Linked DNA regions of Mus musculus. The protein of the gene in region 1 purifies or fractionates together with the protein of each later gene. This does not show direct contact. Links are inferred from orthologs where the notes say so. Each region holds a gene or a part of one and is shown in the gene's direction. Other genes may lie near its edges.

Region 1 (4,650 bases):
AGGGTCTTATAATATGCCCCCGGCTGGCTTTGAACTTTGGATCCTCTGGCCTAAGGCTCTGAGCACCGTATTACAGGTATTACAGGCCACCTCACCTGGCCTTGTCCACTGGATTATGTCACCTCCTGCTAATCTGGAAATGTTGCTTTGATAATGACAAGAGTCACTGGAAACTGCTGGAGTGAATCCTTCTGGGCACATCCTCAGCTGGCCCTGAGCTTGGGATGCTCCTGCTCCTCTGCCACAGGGCAGGGCTGATGGAAGCACGCTGCCGCACACTGAGCTTTTGTCCTCTACACACCAGCTTTGGGGACTTCCCTGACGCCACTCTTTTAGGTGTTTTTCCAGTTTGTTAGGATGATTTTGAACCGTTTCTGCTGCTAGTTCCTTTTTCATATTCCTACGTGGTAGACTACTAAACGAGTGTACTTTATTATGCTCAGGTCAGATGCAGTCCAGGCTGGAATGTTCAATTACCTGTGTAAATCTTAGAGGTGCTTCCAGTTTGGGCTACAATAGCTGTCTCAGCAAATATGTCAAAGCACTAGGTTTCCTCTGATTTCATTCTTCAGATGTTTTTCTCTGACCTTCCCCATCTCAGTTCATAACACCCAGTTACAGAACCAACTGGGCTATCTCCTGAGAAATGCTCTGCCTTCACAGCATGTCCTGATACTGTCTCTTAGTCCATGCTACCCTGGTCTATCTTGTAGACCAGTTGTTCCTGATCCCAAATCCATCTGTGCAGCATCACCAGTTACCTTTGGAATAGCTCTCTGCTTAAGTTCCTCCTACAATATTCTGGCAAACTTAGGGTGATGTGGACACTCCTCACAAAGCTGTATATACCATGACTACTGTCCCTGCCGTCTGCCACCATCTTTATTTCTTGACTGTGTTAAGCTCTTGTGCTGGTGAAGGCTAGTCTTGCTGTTCTCTTTCACATGTTCCTGTTGCTTACTTTATCGTTTCAGTTTTAGGGTTTTATTTATTTTTAAATGTTACTTTCTGGATGAGGTGTTGAGGATTAACATATTTTTGACCACATTTGCTCTCTACACACTTTTGTGTGTTGATTGTATGAGTTTCCAGTGGATGGCAGTAAAGTATCTTGGAAAAGTACAGCTGTAATGTCACAGAAGCACAGTATGAGCTTGCACTGACCCTGTTAGCAGAGAATGCTTCCATCCGTGTCCCTATGGCCTCCCATTTCCTGCATTTGTCACCTCGTATTTTCATCTTTAAAACCTCCATTCAGAATAACAGTAGTTTTGCTTATTTGTGTTTTTATTACATCTTTATGCTGCCCATCCTTGTTTTCTCTGCCTCACTTATATACCTGTTTAGACGTTATTCATCATTCAAGTCTGATACATATCCATTGGTATAACTCCAACCCAGGTGCTTCATGTGTGCTAGGCCCCACACCCACACCTCATCTTTTTATAGGGGTGGGGAAGAGATGTATGCATGCTTGCTAGAGTGGAAGACAAGCCCTCCACCTAGGCCACACCCCCATTTTTAATTCAGTGTATTCTAAGCATTCTGCCAAGGTTGTACCCCCATCTTAACCTTCTTCCCTACTGTTTGCTGGTTTTTGAAGTGGTAGCTTATTTAGATCTTGCTTATGAGTGTCAGGGAAGCTTTGTCTTTGCTGTCACATGTCCAGTTCCTACTGAGCTTTATATTTGCCCTCCTTTCCTGCTGGAAGGTAATTTCTCATAGCTGTATTTTTGTGGTACATTGATTTTAAAAAATGAATGTATATTAAACTCTTTTGGGGAGATACTTTAAAATTTTTTCATGTGTGTGTGTTTGTGTGTGTGTGTGTGTGTGTGTGTCTGTGTGTGTATGTACATGAGAGAGAGACACACACACAGATATAAAGACATGGAGACACAATTATTTTAGGAGTCAGTCCTTTCCTGTGGGTTTCAGGAATTAAATTTGGGTGGACTTGTGCAGCAAACACTTAGCCATGAGCCATCTTGCCTACCTGATTTTTGAGGAAAAACTATAGTGTATGTGTGGGTGCACACGCTACAATGTGTGGATAGAGGTTAAGAGTGCACCCTTGGGCACTGGAGAGATGCTCAGCAGTTGTTTCTTTTTTCTTTTTTTGGTTTTTCAAGACAGGGTTTCTCTGTGTAGCCCTGGTTATCCTGGAACTCACTTTGTAGACCAGGCTGGCCTCGAACTCAGAAATCTGCCTGCCTCTGCCTCCCGAGTGCTGGGATTAAAGGCGTGCGCCACCACGCCCGGCTAGATGCTTAGCAGTTTTGAGTACTGGGTGCTCTTCCAGTGGGCCTAGGCTCAATGCCCAACACCTACAGCAGCTCACAGCTGCCTGTGGCTCCAGTTCTAGGGCAGCTGACACCTTCACACAGACAAATGCAACCAAAACCCAGTGCCATAAAAGCAAATAAACTATTTTCTTAAAAAAAGAGGGCAACTTTACGAATTAGTTCTCCCCCCCCTCCCCCACCCCCCATGGATTCTGTGAATTGAACTTAGGCTGTCAGGCTTGGCAGTAAGTACCTTTACCACTGAGCCATCCCAACAATACTGTTGGAGTTTTTTTGTTGTTGTTTTGTTTTTTAACAATCAGACTCCTAAGCAAATTGCCAAGAGATTTTTATTTTAAGTTTATATCTAGGATGTATATACTGTAGGTAGGTAGTAATTTTTAGATACATAGTACACTATCCAAAGTTCAAATTGTATTGAAGTTAATTTAATTGATGCACATGATATGTCTCCCTTACCAGGATATGAAAAATAAAGGTGCCACAGGCATTACTTTCCATAGTTTAAATTTGTGGAGTTTAATATTAGCAAATTTTTTTAGAGACAGTGGTGCATTTTGGCCCTGGAGAAAGTTCGGAAGATGTCGTCATGATGAGCACGCCTGTGGTTAAAGCAGCCTTGGAAATGGGCTTCAGTAGGAGCCTGGTGAGACAGACGGTTCAGCGGCAGATCCTGGCCACTGGTGAGAACTACAGGACCGTCAATGATATTGTCTCAGTACTTTTGAATGCTGAAGATGAGAGAAGAGAAGAGGAGAAGGAAAGACAGACTGAAGAGATGGCATCAGGTATCCACGTTGGTGGCCACAGGTTTTCAATTACGTGTTGCATGCAGCATCATTAACACCCTCTGCCCCTGGGCATTTCTAAACTATCTCTTTTTGCCAAGCTCAGGCTAACCTCAAATTCAGTCTGTAGCTAGTGCTGTACTAGAACTCCCCTGAGGTTCCTGCCCCCACCTCCAAAGTGCTGGGGTTATACATATATGCCACCATACACAGATTTACAATAAACTATTTTTGAGGTATATTTCATTTCTTTATACATAGCTAAAACTGAAAAAAAGCATGACTTAAGGGACTGGAGGTCATCTCAGTGGTTAAGAGCTTTGGCTGCTCTTGTAAAGGACCTGAGTTTGGTTCCTATTGCCTAAGTAGAGTCCAGTGTCTCACAACCACCTATTACTCTAGTTCCTGAGGATCTGACCCCCTCTGAAGACCCCACCAAGGGGGGAAAATATTAAAAAAGAGATAGGACTAGTTCACTACAGCCTTATTATATGACCGTATCACAAAACGTTTAAAATTCTAACTTCTGGATTGAAACAGACTTATGTTTCAATTCTGCCCTCTGAAGTGAGGTAATTTCTTATGAATAAGCTGGATTCATTTTTAAAAACTATAAATTTAGATTTAAAAAAGGATAAAGCAGGCTATGTGCTATGTGTGAGGTATTGTACAACATGGTTTATGTGCATTTTGTTTAACTCTTTGAGGAAGATGCTATTATTCATACTTCAGATCAGGAAACTGAGGTGTACATAGCAGGGGGACACATGGCTATTAAGTGGCTAGACTTGCCTGGGAGCCAGGCAGAGTCCATCGTGACATGAAGCTTACACTCTTGAGTGCTGTAGTTCTGTAGAATGCATGGAGTCTGAGAAGGAATATTGCTCTAGGCTGAAGATGTAGCTTGATTGATGGGTCTTTGGTTGGCATTCACAAACCTTGAGTTCCATCATTAGCCCTATGTAAACTGGGCATAGTGGTTTATGTCTGTAATCCCAGCACTTGCAATGGAGGTAGAGTCAGGATCAGGACTATCCCTGTGGATACGTGCAGAACCTGAATACATGAGGTCCTGTCTCAATAAATAACAAACAAAAAAACTCAACTAGTTTAGGATTCTGGGGAAAGAGAGAAAAAGAGGACACACGTTTTACTACTCTAAAGTTTTCTGCTTGTTCTCAACAATTTGAAGGCAAGTGTCTGAGTCTGTCATTGTGTAGACTTGAGAATGTTTGTATTTGCTGTGCGATACATCTGAGTTTAATCTGGAAGATTAACCTGACAGCATTGATGTGCAATCAAGTCATTTCAAAGAAGCCCTTCAAGCTCAGCTTAAGCTAATTTGTGTGTAGGGTTGGTTGGGGACATTTGAAATTTAATGGAACTTTTTTCTTGCTCGTTTTTAAATGAAGGTGACTTATCACTGATTCGGAAGAATAGAATGGCCCTCTTTCAACAGTTGACACATGTCCTTCCTATCCTGGATAATCTTCTTGAGGCCAGTGTAATTACAAAACAGGAACATGATATTATTAGACAGAAAACACAGATACCCT
Region 2 (4,875 bases), on another chromosome or scaffold:
ACATTGTTCTTGCTAGCAGTTTTTTCCACCTCAGCACTGAGGATGAAGATGAGGAACATGCTGGAAGTTTCTAGACCTTTCTCTCAATTTACTTTGCATCTAACCCTGCTCTAGAGAAAACAAGTCATTTTGTTTTATTTTAATATGAGCAGTGCTGTGTCACAATTAACTTGATGACTTAGTGGGAAAAAGTGTTTACTTGATCTAAATGTTATAGGTGGGAAGTTCTGCTTGTTAAAATTTTGAGTAATATTTTATAATATTTTTTAAAGAATCATATAATGTGTTTGTTCTATTTTTCCTTTAGAAATATATTATAATGCATATATGTCTGGGTGAGGGTATAGGATCCCCTGGAACCAGAGTTACAGACAGTTGTGAACTGCCATGTGTGTGCTGGGAATTAAACGGGGGTCTTCTGGAAGAGCAATCATGTGTTTAACCTCTGAGCCATCTTTCCAGCCCCACAATGTTCTGACCATATCCCCCTCAACTCCTCCTAGATCCATCCCCTCTCCCAACCTTATGACCTCCACCTCCCACCCCAAGTGACCACAAAGTCCAGTTTGTGCTGCCTGTATAAATTCAGACATAGTATCATCTACTGAAGCATGAGACACACCCTAAATAAAACTGGCCTCCTCCCCTCAAGTCCACCCACTGCCCTTAGCTCCTCACAGATACTGGTTTGACATATGGGCTTGTGAACCCCACCCACCACTGTGGTAGCAGGTTGATTGGTTGGATCTTGCTTAGGTTTTCTGTGAGCAACCGCAGCTGATGAAAGTTTTTTAATAGTTTTAAACGATGGTTTGAATTTTAAAATTTGCCCCAAATATTCAAGCTAACGGTTAGAACCAGACAAGTGTTTGAATCTTTGAACTAAAGAGAAAATGGGGCAGCCAGAACCCAACTCTCTTGTTCTAACACGGAAAAGATGTTTTTCTCACTGCGTCCATCTGAAATTTCTCTCTCAGCTATCATTCAAGCATGTCTGGATAAAATAATGAGAAACTTTTAATCCCCGAGAAATTTACTAGAAATTGAATTTTTTTTAGCAAGTATATCCATTGGAAAGTATTACTAGTGGGAGGAAACACCGAGTGTATATGTAATATTTCTCAAGTTGTGGACTTTAACTCAATTATATTCGCATAAGGATCTGGTGAAAACTGTAATTTCCTGGGCCTTCCCCTACCTGCTCTAAACAGGAATTTCACAATATATCAAGTTTTTCTGAGTGGTTCTCTAACCTACATATAAGGTAATATTAGAAGTAGTTATTTACTGTTTGCTCAAAATTCTAGCTAAGACACTGAAGTGACCTTTAAACAAATGACTTATGTTTAGGGTTCTCTTACTGTCAGATGCTATTTCCTGTATGGCCCCGGGCCTCCAAGGAGCTTGGCGGGGCGGGGCTTTGTGGGCGGGGCTTTCCTGCAGAGGCGGGACGTGGGGCGGGGCTGGCCCTGAGGATGGAAGGTGAAGCGTTAATGACTCAGAGCGCAGTCGCTGCCCTCTGAACTGGAACGGAAAGCTACTTCCGGTTGCAGTCATTCTGCCGGGCACCGGCGACCTGTGGCGTGAGCGAGCACAGCCGGAACCCTCCACTGTGAGTAAAAGCGGAGACAGGGAGTCTGGGTCGGCCGAGCCCGGGGACGCAGGGCTGGGGTGTGTGAGCGGGTGTGGGATGCGCTGCGCTGCACCGAAGTCTCCTCCGAGAAGTAGAGCTGCGGCCCCAGCGAGTTTACAGCGCGATTTTGAGCGAGAGAAAGCGCGGGTCCCTGTCCCCGAGCTGACCCTGTGGGGCTTTCCCGGCCCGTGACCTCAGCTCCGCGACGACAGTCCCCCACCCGTCGCGGCAGGGTGACTGCCGCTCTCCTCGCTGCTTCCCGGGGCTGGAAACGAGCGCGGCACGGCCTGCGGTGTTGGGGCGCCGGGGATCCCGGAGTCCTCGACTTCGCAGAAGCCGGTCGCCCCGGCGGTTATGCCCTCGAACACTTAATAGACTCTTTGTGTCTATCCCGGGAGTTGCACAATTCCCTTCTCTGCTTTCCTGTGGAGTGTCATCATAGTCTTGTCAATGAGAAGTTGGGTAACTTCCCCCTAGGAGTCCCGGAGAGAATGGGTGGCCAAGGCTCAAAGAGCAGAAGTAGCCATCCTCCTTCCCTGGTCACCCAGTCATTAGGTAGAGTCTCCACCGTCGTGTAAACTGAGTGGCAACGAGTTATACACCAAAAACAAGCAAGCAAGCAAACAAACGAGAAGAAAAAGAGCAATGCTTGTCCTGAAATCCGATCAAGGGGGAAGATGCTCGCTGTACCCCCAGAGGACTTAGGCTCTCTCACTATTAGGCTGGCTGTACAAAGCAGCCTTCTTGGGTGTCTTTTTCTCTCGCAGAAACTTTTGAGAAGTTAACATGAAGAAGAAACGATAAGCTAGAAAGTGAAGAGAGGTGGAGTAACACCCCGCCGTTTGCCCAGTAACAGAAAGACAAGCACCACCTTCTTGCGAAAAGCCATATTGTCCCCTTTGAGAGGGGCCGTGAACCCCTCAAATGATAAAGGAGAAAATGAAACCACCCCGCTAAAGCGTTTTCAATCATGTAAGACAAAGCCTTCCACATCTCTTAAAGGCGCCTACTCACGTTGTTTTGCTCCCCTATGGAAATGAGATCATTGCTTACTCTGTACACCCTCTTCTCTTGGCGTTGGTCACTTTTCCCAAGTTTGGATTTTTATGTCGTTTTTTTTTTCTTCCTTCCTTCCTTTCTTCTTTCTTTCTTTCTTTCTTTCTTTCTTTCTTTCTTTCTTTCTTTCTTTTCCTTTCTTAAAGGTACAGTTGTTGCCAGGCATGGTGGCTCATGCTTTTAATCCCAGAACTCAGGAGGAAGATACAGATATAGTAACCCTTCATGCTATGTGCCACATACTGTAAAGAACTATTAGTCATGTGGCTTTGCCTAGGTTTTGTATCCAAGATTATTGTCCTCTTGCAAATTATTGAGATAATTTCCTGTGCTATTTCATTTTAATACTTGACTCATTTTAAACATCTGAAGTTATTCTTGTACACTGTAGAAACATAATTATGAATTAGGTATCATAGGTTTTTTTTTTCAACGTAATAAAAACAAACATACCAGGAAGAGGAATTTTCATTTGAGGTATCGTCTCTATCAGAATGGCCTGTGAACTTGTCTGTGAGGTATTCTTTTATTGCTGGTTGATATGGGAGGATCCAGCCAGCTCTGAGTACTATGATCCCTGGGCAGGTGGGCCTAGACTTTATAAGAAAGAATGAGCAAGCTGGGAGAAGAAAACTGGGAAGTAGGCATCAACCTTCTGTGGTTTTTTGCTCCAGCTTCTTGCTTGAGTTTCTGCTCCAACTTCCCCCAGTGATGGGTTTTGAACTATGAGTTGTAAGATGGAGTGAACCCCTTCATTCTCAAGTTGCTTTTGGTCATAGTGTTCATCATAGCATCAGAAACAAAAGTACAAGTGGGTTAGGTGAGTAAGTTGACTTAGCAAGTAAAGGTGTCTGCCACTAAGCCTGACATCAGGGATCCATCCCGAGGACCAGCAAGGTAGAAGGAGAGAAACTAACCCCTCAATGTTGCCCTGTGACTCTTTTACACACACACACACACACACACACACACACACACACACACTACACGCCAAAAAAGAAAAGGAAAGAAAGAGAGAAAAGAAATTAGTTCTTTCAGTTCTTTTCCAACTGACTGAAAATTCTTTTTTTATTTTTTTTGAAGTCGAAAGATTGGGCCATGTGAGACCCTGTCTAAAAAGAAAAGCCAGGCATGGTGGCACATGCCTTTAATCCCAGTGCTAGGAGGCAGAGGCAGGATCTCTGTTGAATTCAAGGCCAGGCTGGTCTATAAGCTAGTCAGGTCTATATAAGCGAGACCTGGTTCTCTAAAAAAAGAAGAAGAAAGAAAGGAAAGTTTACAGCGGCTAATTTTATGCTATGTGTAATGTGTATTCTGTCACAGGTTTTAGGGGTGTGTCTTGGTTTTTTTGTTTGTTTGTTTGTTTTTAATCTTTTTCAAGATTAGGGGTTGAAAAATGTGACACATATTACAAAGGCCTGAAATGCACATTTTCAGTTGCTTAGAACCAGGTACCCTTGCCTATTCTAACACTCCTCAGTTTTTGTTTTTGTTTTTGTTTTTGGACTGCATTAGCGATCCACCCAAAATGTAGTCCTTTGTTTTCCCTCTCTACATATAGTTCATAATCTTGATTTTGAAAGGTTTTTTTTTTTTTACCTATTCGGATAGCTTCCTCTTTTCCTTAAATTATTGAAGATTAGCACAGCAGGCAGAGGAAAAATGGCAGTATACATTCTAAAGGGAATGTGGTTTGAATGAGAATAGCCTTTAGTCACCAGCTTGGTGAACTGTCTAGGAACAATTCTGATGTGTGGCTGTGTTGGAAGAGGTGTGTCAGCGAGGATGGGCTTTGAGGTTTCAAAAGGCCTATTCTCTCTCCACACTATTTCTCTACCTTGCTGAGAATGATGACTTAAAGTTCTCAGGTACTGTCTCCAAATGCCATGATGGTCATGAACTAACCTCCGAAACTGTAAGCAAGCCCCAATTAAATGTTTCCTTTTCTAAGTTTCCTTGGTCATGATGTCTCTTCACAGCGATAGAATAGTGACTAAGAAGATAAAAACACAAACTTCACTTGACATAACTGAACATAAATGAGTTAAAATCACCCAGTAATATTTGTATCTTTAAAATGTTAGAGGAAAAAAGATAATTAACTATAATCATACGAATAGAGGTTTCCTATTAGCAGACCATTTTTATTTTCCACTGACCTTAATATAAGTATGTTTTTTAAAAAA

The links. The genes of interacting proteins can lie anywhere in the genome.
Region 2: the proteins of Birc2 (region 1) and Tank purify together in Homo sapiens (affinity purification with mass spectrometry; 4 studies listed by BioGRID and IntAct, with this or other methods). This does not show direct contact. The link is inferred for Mus musculus from reciprocal best matches to the Homo sapiens genes BIRC2 and TANK.

What each region holds. Positions count from the first base shown.
Region 1 is NC_000075.6:7,819,418-7,824,067, reverse strand, and holds part of Birc2 (baculoviral IAP repeat-containing protein 2), read left to right. Parts: intron 1-2,848; coding exon 2,849-3,094; intron 3,095-4,506; coding exon 4,507-4,650. UniProt on the Homo sapiens protein: Multi-functional protein which regulates not only caspases and apoptosis, but also modulates inflammatory signaling and immunity, mitogenic kinase signaling, and cell proliferation, as well as cell invasion and metastasis.
Region 2 is NC_000068.7:61,591,597-61,596,471, forward strand, and holds the start of Tank (TRAF family member-associated NF-kappa-B activator), read left to right. Parts: upstream 1-1,500; 5' UTR 1,501-1,612; intron 1,613-2,400; exon of another isoform or gene 2,401-2,605; intron 2,606-4,875.